2 linked regions of the Drosophila melanogaster genome follow. The protein of the gene in region 2 purifies or fractionates together with the protein of the main gene of each other region. This does not show direct contact. Each region holds a gene or a part of one and is shown on either strand. Other genes may lie near its edges.

Region 1 (3,129 bases), on a different chromosome or scaffold from region 2:
CGCGTCATCGATGTCGATTGCATCCAGTAGTTGGGAATTTTTCAAGTTAATTCGTGCACTTTGCATGTGAGTGGCAATTGGGCTTTGATTGATTTCGAAATGCCAGGCGGCGCCCCATTTTATTTCGCTTCTTCTCTTTCTTGTGCGCTTTTGCCATAAATCTTGCATAAATCGATTTAATCTGCCCCTGGCCACGCCCACCTGCTGGTGGGCCCCTCAATTAATTATACTTTTTCAATGTCAAAATGTCGCTGCAAGAAAGGTGCGCCACCAATTTAACCCTTTTTTTTATGTACGTATTAGTTGACTGCGTGAATCTTGAGGCGCCTGCAACATGGAATCTGAGAGCTGAGTCTGATCCTGCGGCTTAACCTTCTTTTCTAATTGCAGGTTTTCCAACGCCCCGATGTGAAGGTCACTGACAGCATTAAGTGCACTGGAAAAAGTTTAATGAGGCAAGTGCACCATTTATGAACTGTTTTTTTTATGAACTTTCAAATACCCCTACAGACTTTTCGCTCGGTGTATACATACACGTATAATTTCGCGCCCGGCAGATAATGCCGCCGGCCTGTCTCCAACATCAAGCTGCGTCTAGGAGGCGGAGGGCGTGGCTGGGCCGAGCTAAACTCACTTATTCACCTGCCCGCATGCCAACAAAGTGCAGCATCAGCAACCAGTTCGCATGAAAATGCATAATCAATCACCAGCGACAACGGCGACCAGAAAATGAAGAAAAACTCGTGGCAGAAGAGTCAATACTCTTTATTGACATTGCACCGCAATGTCTTCGGTGCACAATAGTTTTATGGACTAGGCATTTCGTGATCGTTTCTTCCTGGGACTCGGAGTGGTCTCATACCCATTGTCCGACTCCAAGTCTTCTTCATCGCCCTCATCCGTGAACACAATACGCTCCTCGTAGAACGAGATGACCATTTGGGGGCACCGAACGTTGAGCACTTCGGCGGGCACCAGGCCGGCTTCGTCGCAACCCTTCCACTGCATCAAAAAGGTCAGCTTACCGGACCAGTTGCAGGCTCCTAAGATCCGCAACGGTTCGAGTCCAAGATCAAATCCATTTCGTTGCTTCACCGGAAGAGCAGTAGAGGACGTCAAAGTGGAGCTGGGCATCTTCCGTTTGGTTTTAGATATCGTGGGATTTATTTCAATGTAATCTATTTTTCTTTTTTCGACGCGCGTAGCCAATTGTCACGTTTTGTCAAGTGTTTACACACCGAGATATTATTTTTCAGTTTCGATAACTGTAGGTATCGACATGCTTTGGCAACCCTTTCGATGTGGCAGCCCTAAATGATTAATTTGAAAAGCGTTAGAGAAAATGGAAATAAAATTGTACACTCCCCTTGACTGGACATATTCTTTCAGATTTAGTTAGGGTATTGTGCATTCCAACGCCCATTGAGCGTATCATTGGTGCATCTTCATCTGACATTTCGCACGACTCGAATGTCAAGGCGCGATTGCCGGCGATACTACTTGCGATATTGGCCTCTTACGCGGCTCCACTTGTTAACTTGAATTCGTGTAAAGTGGCCGCTCATTAAAAACTCATAAATCAGGGCGGAAGGGAGGAGGGTTTTCGGTGGCACCGCCGCCAGTAATTGCCGTTGCTGGCCCAGTGTCAAAATAAAGGCAAAATAAAGGAACCCAACTCGTCGGCGGAAATGATCGGCCACCAGGTGATGGGGATGGTGGGAATGGGGCATATGGATACTACAGCTAGCTGCCAGTAATTTCCGCATATTGGAAGTCTCGTACTCTCAGATGGGCATGTGATTAATGATTAATCTGCTCGGTGCATCCGCCGCTATGACATTTAGCCAACGCCGCCTGAGAACCCGCTGCAGCAACAAAAAGAATCCGATTCGGAATCAGAAACAGAAACAGAAGTCGGTGGCGGGGTGGCCAGTTAAAGCCGAGGTCTCCGGTCGCCAGTTGGAGCCATTAAACGCCGCTGGAGCTGCTTGGGCGCACAATTTAAAGCAGCAACTAACGCAGTTAGACAACAAACCACTTTCAAGAGCTGGCTGGCAAACAGGGAAAACGGCTTTCAACTCGTTTCGCTGCCCGCTCAGATGCAGTTGCATACACTGAGGAAAGTGATGTATGAGTTCTTCAATTTAATCGATTTTTGTGTAAGAATATTTGGCTCGGTGTGTATGTATTCCAGAAAAATAATTAATTCCAAAAGTATTTAGAAACAACATAAACTTTTTCTACATTTTCCAAAAGCTTTTATATTTAAGAACATATATATTATTAGTTTTTCATAGGAAATAATTTTCCTTCTCAAAACATATTTTTTCAAGTGTACTGCCGTTAATGCTGCTGATGCCGTGGGTGCAGCCGTTGAATGTTGCATGCTGCTAGTACGTTCAACTTTTGCAGTTAACAGTTAGATTTTGAAATGGCCAGCAGCACTGGCATCGTCGTCGGCAATGGTATCGGTTCTCTGGGATTCCAGTTTTCTGGCCACAGCCTGAGAACCCGGCGATCAAGATGCGCGGCTCCACCACGACGGAAGGAAATTGCCGTCCAAGGCGAAGTCACAGCTCCGATCGCAGCATTGCGCACATCAAATAAATACTGGTACTTGGCAATTTTTGTGTTAAAACAAAATTAAAGCAATGCCAGCCGTGCTGCTCTGCGGTGTAACATTAACCCAAATACATAATTCCCATTCTCGCCTCATCGGCATCGGACAAGGATCGGCGCATTAATCATTGGACGGCAGGGGGACAGCTCTTGGGAAGCGGCAGCATATTTGGGTTTATGGGTGAGCCCCAGTATCCTAAGCAGGAAATCATTAGAGTGCGATCCAAGGAATCCGCAGGGGTTTGGCTCATGCATACATACTTATACGTATTTCTTGGGAATTTTTTTATAGATCTTGGCTCTGCCTGATGGTCGGTTTCTAAGCCATCAAGCGGAGATCATCGCGTGACTGGGCAACAAAAACCCATTATAAATTCCTCACATTTATGATGTGTCCTTCTGTCAGCGATGATAAAAGATCCTACCAATCTGTTCTAGTCTTGTGAAATAGTCGTGTTTTGGTGGAGATAAATATATATTGATCATGAGTGTAAATAAGCTTGCCAAGAG
Region 2 (7,680 bases):
ATGAGGTGTGACATTCCACATTTGGACAATTATTTTAATTGCTTTCGAAGAAATTGTGATTTTTTTTTAACAAAAAACTGCAAAAAGGAAAATCTGATATTTTCCTTATAACTTGGCGAAGAAGGTGGTAGAGCCAAAAAGTAACCGTTGTTTACTGTTCGTCATTTCGAAAGAAATGTGGGAGGATTACTAAAATCCTTTAAATAGTATATCGTCAAATAGTTTGGCCATTCCTTTGTCCTAGACAATCATCCCCTGTGTTTTACGTGCGCCTTATTATCTAGCCACTCCTCCAGGAACTTGGCAATCAAATCTTTTCCCAATTGCACGCCCAATTTATTCGGGCTTACTTTCATGTCCTCGGAGAGGCCATACAAGTGGGCGGGGCCGGCTGACCGACATATAATCATGGGGCCTTGCCCTCATCGCTATCATTCTGCGACTTTAAGCGTCTAACAACATTAGATACTGTTTATTATTGCGCAAGTTTCAGTTTGGTATTATACCTATGGTACTCAGGAACTCTTAAAATCTTAAATTTAACAGTCCCAGTGCAAAACATCATATGAAAGTTGACTGTGGCCATTTATTCAAGTTATTCTAGAGGGCTCTTAAAAAAAAAAAAAAAGTTATTGCAATTTCATGCACTTAATAATAAATAAGATGTATTCTGTGGCAATGAAGGGTGTCAATGGTACGGCGAAAGTTCTTACAGAGAATATGTATGACTAAACTACGTGTGCCAAAAGTTTCGAGAGCTAAGGCGGTGGCGGATTGACCTTGGCGTATTTAGAGAACAGCTGCGTCATCTTGCCGAGCAGTGTATCCTGACTGGCCGTGGACAAGTTACCGACGGCGTAGGCCCAATTCTTCACCACGAGATCCGGACTGCAAGTGGACAAATTGATCTCAGGCAGGAACTCCTGCGGGCTAACTTCCTGAGTGTTCTTCGCAAGCGATTCGTTTAACTGGTTGAGCTGCTGTGGCGTGCGGACTGTCAGCTGGGCGTTCGGCTTCACCTGCTTATAGATTTCCGACATGTGGTGCAAGTACTTGTGGCCCATTGTACATTGATTGCTTGGATCGGCGATCTTCAGATTGCGCATCTCGCGCAGAGCGTACTGCAGACCAAGGCGGCATTCGGTCACTGCAAAATATGTACTTTTAATCAAATGTCTAAATTGACATATTTGCAAATGATTACCTGTGGCATGCAACTCCTTTGATACGCGAACCCAGGCGGCTCGCTTGTCCAGAGTGCTCGCCCGCTCGAAGCTGTTTGGTTGGCTACGCAATTTCTTACACAACTCAAACGCCTCAATGGGGGATAGATTGTTACAGGTGACACTTCTCGCTGGGGTCGGCCGCTTTTGGGCGGTGGAGATATTCTTGTCTTTATGAGACTTGACGTTGGCGTTTGACGCTGGCTTGCTTTCGCTTGTCTTTTTGGACACGGAAACGCCATCAGGTACAGGAATAGGTTGGGCATCGGGTGCCAAAGCTAGAGCCGGAGCTGGAGCAATTTGAGTGAGAGTTTCAGTGCTTCTCACGCTATTCAACTTGCCGGTAAGCAAGCGCTTGGCCTCCTCCGTCTCCCATGGCTTGGGTTCTTTGGAAAAGCCCGTTAAAAGTTTGCTCGGTGTAAATTTGGTCTTATCGATATGATCGGAGGACGTTAGAGCCTCGTGCATTTTGCAGCGCTTCACCTCCTCTGACATCCTGTTGTGCACTATATAGTAGTAGGGCTCGAGCGGATGGTAGCGCACATTGACCAGAAACCTGAGTTGCTCCAGTGCCTGCCACCAATTCTGCGGCCAGGGATTATCGATGCCGCGCTCTAAATCATCCAGGTATGTGCGGAAGGCGAACTTAAACATTGACCAAATATCCCGATGATTGACTGCAAAAGAACAGAAAATTACTAATAAATGATTGGCTTATAACATTTATTAAACATACGATTTGGGAATTTAAGGCGGGCCTCCCGCCACACCTCCTGCTTCTCCTGATTCGTCAACTGGGGCGGAGCTTGAGCATCTTCGCCAGGTCGCGGCCTGCGTAAATCGCAGTAGAGGTACTCGTACTTCGCGAAGAAGCGTATTACTTCCGGCAACACGTTCTTGTGATTCAACCACTGGTATTTTAGCGCTATCTCGTCAAATTTGCCAAACAAGCGATTCGATTTTTCCCACACTTTTTCGCTGTACTTAAACGGACGCATCAGTTCCGACATCGGCGCAATTTTTGGAAACACACTCATGTTGGCCGCCAAGAATTTCCAGCATGCGCGCAAAGCTTCCTCTGCAGAACAAAAGAACGTATGAGCCAATGTTTCTAATATATATATAGTTACTCCTACCTGGCATGTGAAACTTCTTGGCGATAAAATGCCAGAACTCAACACACTTGGCCGCCAACTGTGGATCTTCCTTGTGCAGCTGCGGCACAGCCATCACCTCGCGGATCAACGTCGTCGTCCTAATCATATTGAGATTGAAGCGAGTACCCTGATTTCCGCACCAAACTTGCAGTTCATTCCCAGTGGTATCACTCTCGTGCAGACACACGGTTATGTTGCCAAGCGGCAAGTTCTCCGGCTGACTGCCTAGGGTTGCGGATGCGGCTGCAGTTGCTTTTATATCTGACTGCGATGCTGTTGTTGCCTTGGCTACTGTCGGCAATTTGGCTGGTCTGACCACTGGTGCTGATATTGCTGCTCCCACAGCTTTAGCCTGGCTTGCTAATGTGCCCTGTATTGTGGCATATGAGTCAGATGCAGCTTGTGTTGCAGATGTAGGAAATAATGGTGTTTTTCGTATGACTCGAGTTGTTTGTCCAGTGGCGATTGGTGGCGTAGTTACAGGCAGCTCAGTTGCTGGTTCTGTTGCAGGTTTGGCCATCCTGGTTGCTGCTGTAGGTAGTACTGCTACCGGTACGATTGGTTGATATTTTTTGGGGTTTACTAATGTTGTTGCTGGCAATTTGGGCTTTGGTGGTATTATTTTTGCTCTCGCTGGTTCCGCAGTTGCTACAATAGGAGCAGCTGCAGGCGAAGATGTGGTTAATAGTGATCTTATTGGCTTACTGAACGGAGCGCTATTGCTTTTGCCATCCCAAGCGCTTTTCAGTCCCGGCTGGTGTATTCGTACCATTGGAGCCGCAGTGGGTGTTGGCAGATTGCTTTTAGCTGTAATATTCGATGTTGTTATTGGTACAAAATTTGGCAGTGTTTGTTGCGGAGCTGGTGAACGTATTTGCGATGGATTTTGTGGCCTAAGCAGTTCACCCAGTGTCGACATTGGCCCTCCGGATACCCTGTCTTGAGTTTGAGCTGGATTGGTTGGATTCGTTGTTCGAATTACAGTGCGGGGGACTACAGGTGCCATTTGCGGTCTACTGGCCATTTGAGGCTTCGTATGGAGCTTAACCTGTAAGCCAGGACCCTGCGTTATCTGTGGACGCACTTCAGGCGGCTTTGCGTTTGGGCCCGCCATCTGATTGGTGGTGGCGATGGGGGACACGCCCGTTCCCATAGTCGCCGCCGGCTTGGGCAAAATTCGTACGTTGGGCACAAACTTTAGGGGTATCATATATCCCGAGCCCACACTGATGGCGGACGTGATTTTGGGAATCACAAACTTGGGAAGAGCTTGATCGGGCGATACACTCGAACTGACGCTGTTCGTTGCGGCGGCGGCGGTGGATGTGTTGTTAATGACTGGGCCAGAGGACCTCCTAACATTGGTGAAGGTGGGGCCAATGCTTGTGGCAGTGCTTGCACTGTTGGTCATGCTCGTGCTGCTGCCTTTTGAGGTGGACGGATAGACAATAGCCAATGGCATACGTACCGGCACCGGTGTTTTGGCCGGAGGCTCCCCCGCCACTGGTATGGCGCCGTTGGCTGTCCGCTTTAGTGCGGGACGGGCCGTGGAACGAGAGGTAACTGGCGTTAAGGCCAGACCCATGGAGCCCTCAAAGAACCACTTGTCCTGCAGCTGATAGCCGGATGAGCGCACGGCCTGCAATTCGTGGTAAAAGGCGCGCAGCACCAGCCAGGTGACCTCGCAGTGCTCGTGACTACACATCACTTCCATGCCGACCTTCTGCCAGAATTCGTCGTAGCGCGGCGGTTTCACCTTGTTGTGCAGGGAGTCCTCCGTCAGCTGAACTAGTTCTGGCATGTTGCGCATCGTGGTGATCAGCGCCATCACAGTGTGGAAATTCTCAATGGGCTCGTGCCAACCGTTTTGCAGGTACTTGGAAGACTTGCATACGGTGCCGCGCATGCGCTGTACGTGCGGTTCCATGAAGTCCATCAACCGACACAGCTCCGAAGTGCCGATATGACGTGGGCGATGGATTAACTCCCATTCGTAGCGAGTCTGCAGCTTTAGCCAGCACTTCATCAGCTTGGTGGCTTTGTCATGGACTTCGTTTGAAATGGCACTCCAGATTAGAAAGCGATGTCGTGTGTTCTGATAGCCCGTGCACGTGCTATCGTACAGAAGGGGATAGGCACTGACTGCCTCTATGAGGCGACGCTGTAACCTGTTGCAACGGTAGTTATAGGTGGGGTCCTCCTCGACATCCAAATCTATGATGTCCATTGGCGGATTCTCTATGACCTCCACATCGGGCCGGGTTTCGCTCTCATCCACATGCTCTTTTTCAAGAATCTCTGTCGGAATCTTGTCGACAATCAGTGGGAATCTGGCCACATGGGTATACATGAAGCGCATCTCTTCCTCGTATTCCATGCAAGGACGCCAACGCAGGGCCGCCCGATCTTTTTGGATGGCACTGCGATGAAAGTTTCTTAGACGACGAACATGGCGCTGATATTTATATCGCAGCGCCGACCAGGATCTCTTGCAGTTGGTCGCATTCGTTGCCAGGCGGCTGGCGATTTTTTTCCATTGTTTCTCCCTTTGAGCGACGTCGCGGAATTTCGGATGCCGGGCGTCATACAATAGCGGCTGGCGGCGTACCAAAGCGATGAGCAGCCTCTCTGCCCTATAGGTTTGCAGAATGCCGCCATCCCGAGATCCCGGATAAGTGCATCTGCTGAACGGATTTGGGGCCTTATCGTCATCCACGCCATTCGTCTTCTGACCAATTGTGTCAGCTTTGAGGAAAAAAAAAAACGGAAGTTAGTTGAACGGCTGACCAGGTGACCAACTGTCGGACTTACAAACAATTATCTGGCAATCATTTTCAATGGCAACAGGCTCCTCCTCCATGTCCTAGACACCTGATAGCTCCAATCTTGACCTACGCGCGCCTTTCCCCCACACAAGCCGTCGAGAATTCTCGGAACGGAGAAACCGGTGGGCAATCCGATGGAACCACTGCTTCACTCTTCACTCTTTTGTAGCATAAAATCACTCGGAAATAGTTTGGGAACAACTTGCAACTACAGGATTATTAAGTGCAAGCGTATCTACGTAAATATATCTACGTAAATAAGGTTTCTTGCGACGCCAGATAGTCGGCGGTTGCAAACGCAAAATGGTTAAAGAGCGTTATCGACCACGGATACCGTTATCGAAACATTCGATTAATATTTGAGTGTGAAATAGAATTGTATAGCTAAATATTTTTGTTTGTGTTAAGTTAAACAAAAATAAGTTGAAAAAACACGTTACAATTTGTAAAGCTACATTCTAGTAGCTACCCATTTGGATATCAGTGGAGTTATCGATAGCAGCCAAGCGCTGAGAGCAGAATATTTCGTTAAGTTCTCCCACTTGCGAGCACTCCAATTTCTTCGTTCTGGCAACGCTGCTTACCAGTCAGCTGTTTAGCCGGCAGGTTTTTCAACGAATGTTTTCATAACGCGTTTTCCATTCAAATTCAATTGAATTGAATTAATTTACAACCAAATATCGCTCTAAAACATGTGGGCAAGAACAAACTACCTCTGGCGAAGTGTGGGACGTCTGCGCCGCCAAGTATGCACGACGATCGTTTCACCAGCGCGAATATTTGCGGACCGAGAGAATCAGTTCGCCCATGGAATCCTGATGGATTCTCTCAAACCGTATGCAATACTGCGTCCTCGGGACTCCGCCTGGCAGGATTTGCCCGCATCTGAAGGCTTTATGCGGCCACAGCCAGATGCCAGTGCTGCCGATCTCTATGCGGACTTTTTAGGCCTGGTGAGGCACTGTAATCGCATGGAACTGAAGATCAGCGATAGCCGCTACGAAGCCTTTACCCGCTGCTTCTGTGAGCAGCTGCATCGCCTTACGGATGAACAACTTCTTGGATCGCTTAGTGCCTTGGCCGAGCTGCCCGTACCGGAATCGCCCAAAGCCAAGAACTACATGGAGATATGGAATACCCTGGACATCGAGTGCTGTCGCCGCATCGAGCGATGGTCCAGTGAACAATTGCTACTCGTGAGCGATGCCTGGTATCGTCTTGGTCTGGTCAGGATAGGCGAGTACGTGTGGCTGGCGCTGAAAAAGCTCGGCCGCAAGCTGCGAAAGCTGCCGCCAGAACAGCTCGTTCACTCCATGTTCCTGTGCAATCTACTGCGCCGACCCGTCTTCGAGATGTTCGATTTCGAGTTGAATCTGGCCCGCTGCGTGGATCAAATGACGCTGTCCGAATTGGGCGTAATGGCCATGGGCTTCTTTAAGACACAGACGCCTATCAGAAATCCGGAGCTGCTAACGCAACTCTATCAGCGATTAGGCAGCGAGCTGGACACCGTGGAAGACATTGTCCTGGTAGCGCTGCTCAAGGTGCTGCGGTACAGCAGCAAGCTGCCACAAGTGGAGCCGCTAAAGAAGATGTTAAGCGCTCTAGAGTCGCAAGTGGATCGCGTTTCCCTCCTCACGTGCCTGCACATGGCTCTTCTGGGCTGTGAACTGCAAACGTGCAATGATGCACTGGTGGAGCGCATACTGCTGAGATTCGAGCGTGAGTTAGAGACTGCCCGCCTCAAGGATATGGAGCGAATTTGTCTGGTAATGGCCCTTTTCAATATTACAACTAAGTCGGGAGTGGAACGCCGGTTGGCGGAGAGATTGCCCGATTTGCTGCGCCAGCGTATAGAGGAGATACTGCGCCATCCTCGTTGTTTCTCCAACTGCCTTCAGTTTCTCACAATGCGTGGTGTTTACGATCTTGAGCTTTTGGGCGTGGCACTGGAGCCGCGTTTCCTGAAGCATGCGTACCCAAGCGGATTGCCCGGGCGTGAGTACTTCCATTTGGATGGGTTCGCACGCCTCCTGGGGCCGGAATACCAGGGAGCACTGGTTACCGAGAAGCAACGACAGCAGATGGGCCGCAATTACACGCAGTACATCCCCGATCGGGACGGACGCTTCAAGCTGAATAATACCGATCGTATTCTAGTGGAAATACGGGATGCGATCACCATGATCCACCGTCCCGTGACCTTCAAGCACATCCTGCCGCAATACGATCGATGCGATGTAGTGTTGTGCTACGACCGCCGGCAACGGAAGGCGTTGTCCATAAATGGTGAGGCCTGTCAGGATTACAGCGGTGAGATTCTCACCCGGAAGCACTTACTGGGTGAGAGAAAGGCTGCGGATGACCAGCTGGTCACAGTGGTTATCGTTATTGCCGGCTGGAACAACGTAATCCGCGATAAGGATCGTTTCACCGGCCAAATGGATATGAAGCTAAGGCAGCTGCGGCAATTGG

The links.
Region 1: the proteins of Hmr (region 2) and HP6 purify together in Drosophila melanogaster (affinity purification with western blotting; one study listed by BioGRID). This does not show direct contact.

What each region holds. Positions count from the first base shown.
Region 1 is NT_033779.5:4,576,970-4,580,098, forward strand, and holds HP6 (heterochromatin protein 6), read right to left. Parts: upstream 1,250-3,129; 5' UTR 1,135-1,249; coding exon 814-1,134; 3' UTR 750-813; downstream 1-749.
Region 2 is NC_004354.4:10,590,353-10,598,032, forward strand, and holds Hmr (hybrid male rescue), read right to left. Parts: upstream 5,504-7,680; 5' UTR 5,241-5,503; coding exon 5,192-5,240; intron 5,126-5,191; coding exon 2,360-5,125; intron 2,302-2,359; coding exon 1,960-2,301; intron 1,901-1,959; coding exon 1,205-1,900; intron 1,148-1,204; coding exon 759-1,147; 3' UTR 568-758; downstream 1-567. Other genes in the region: CG2124 (uncharacterized protein), read left to right, coding at 5,898-7,680.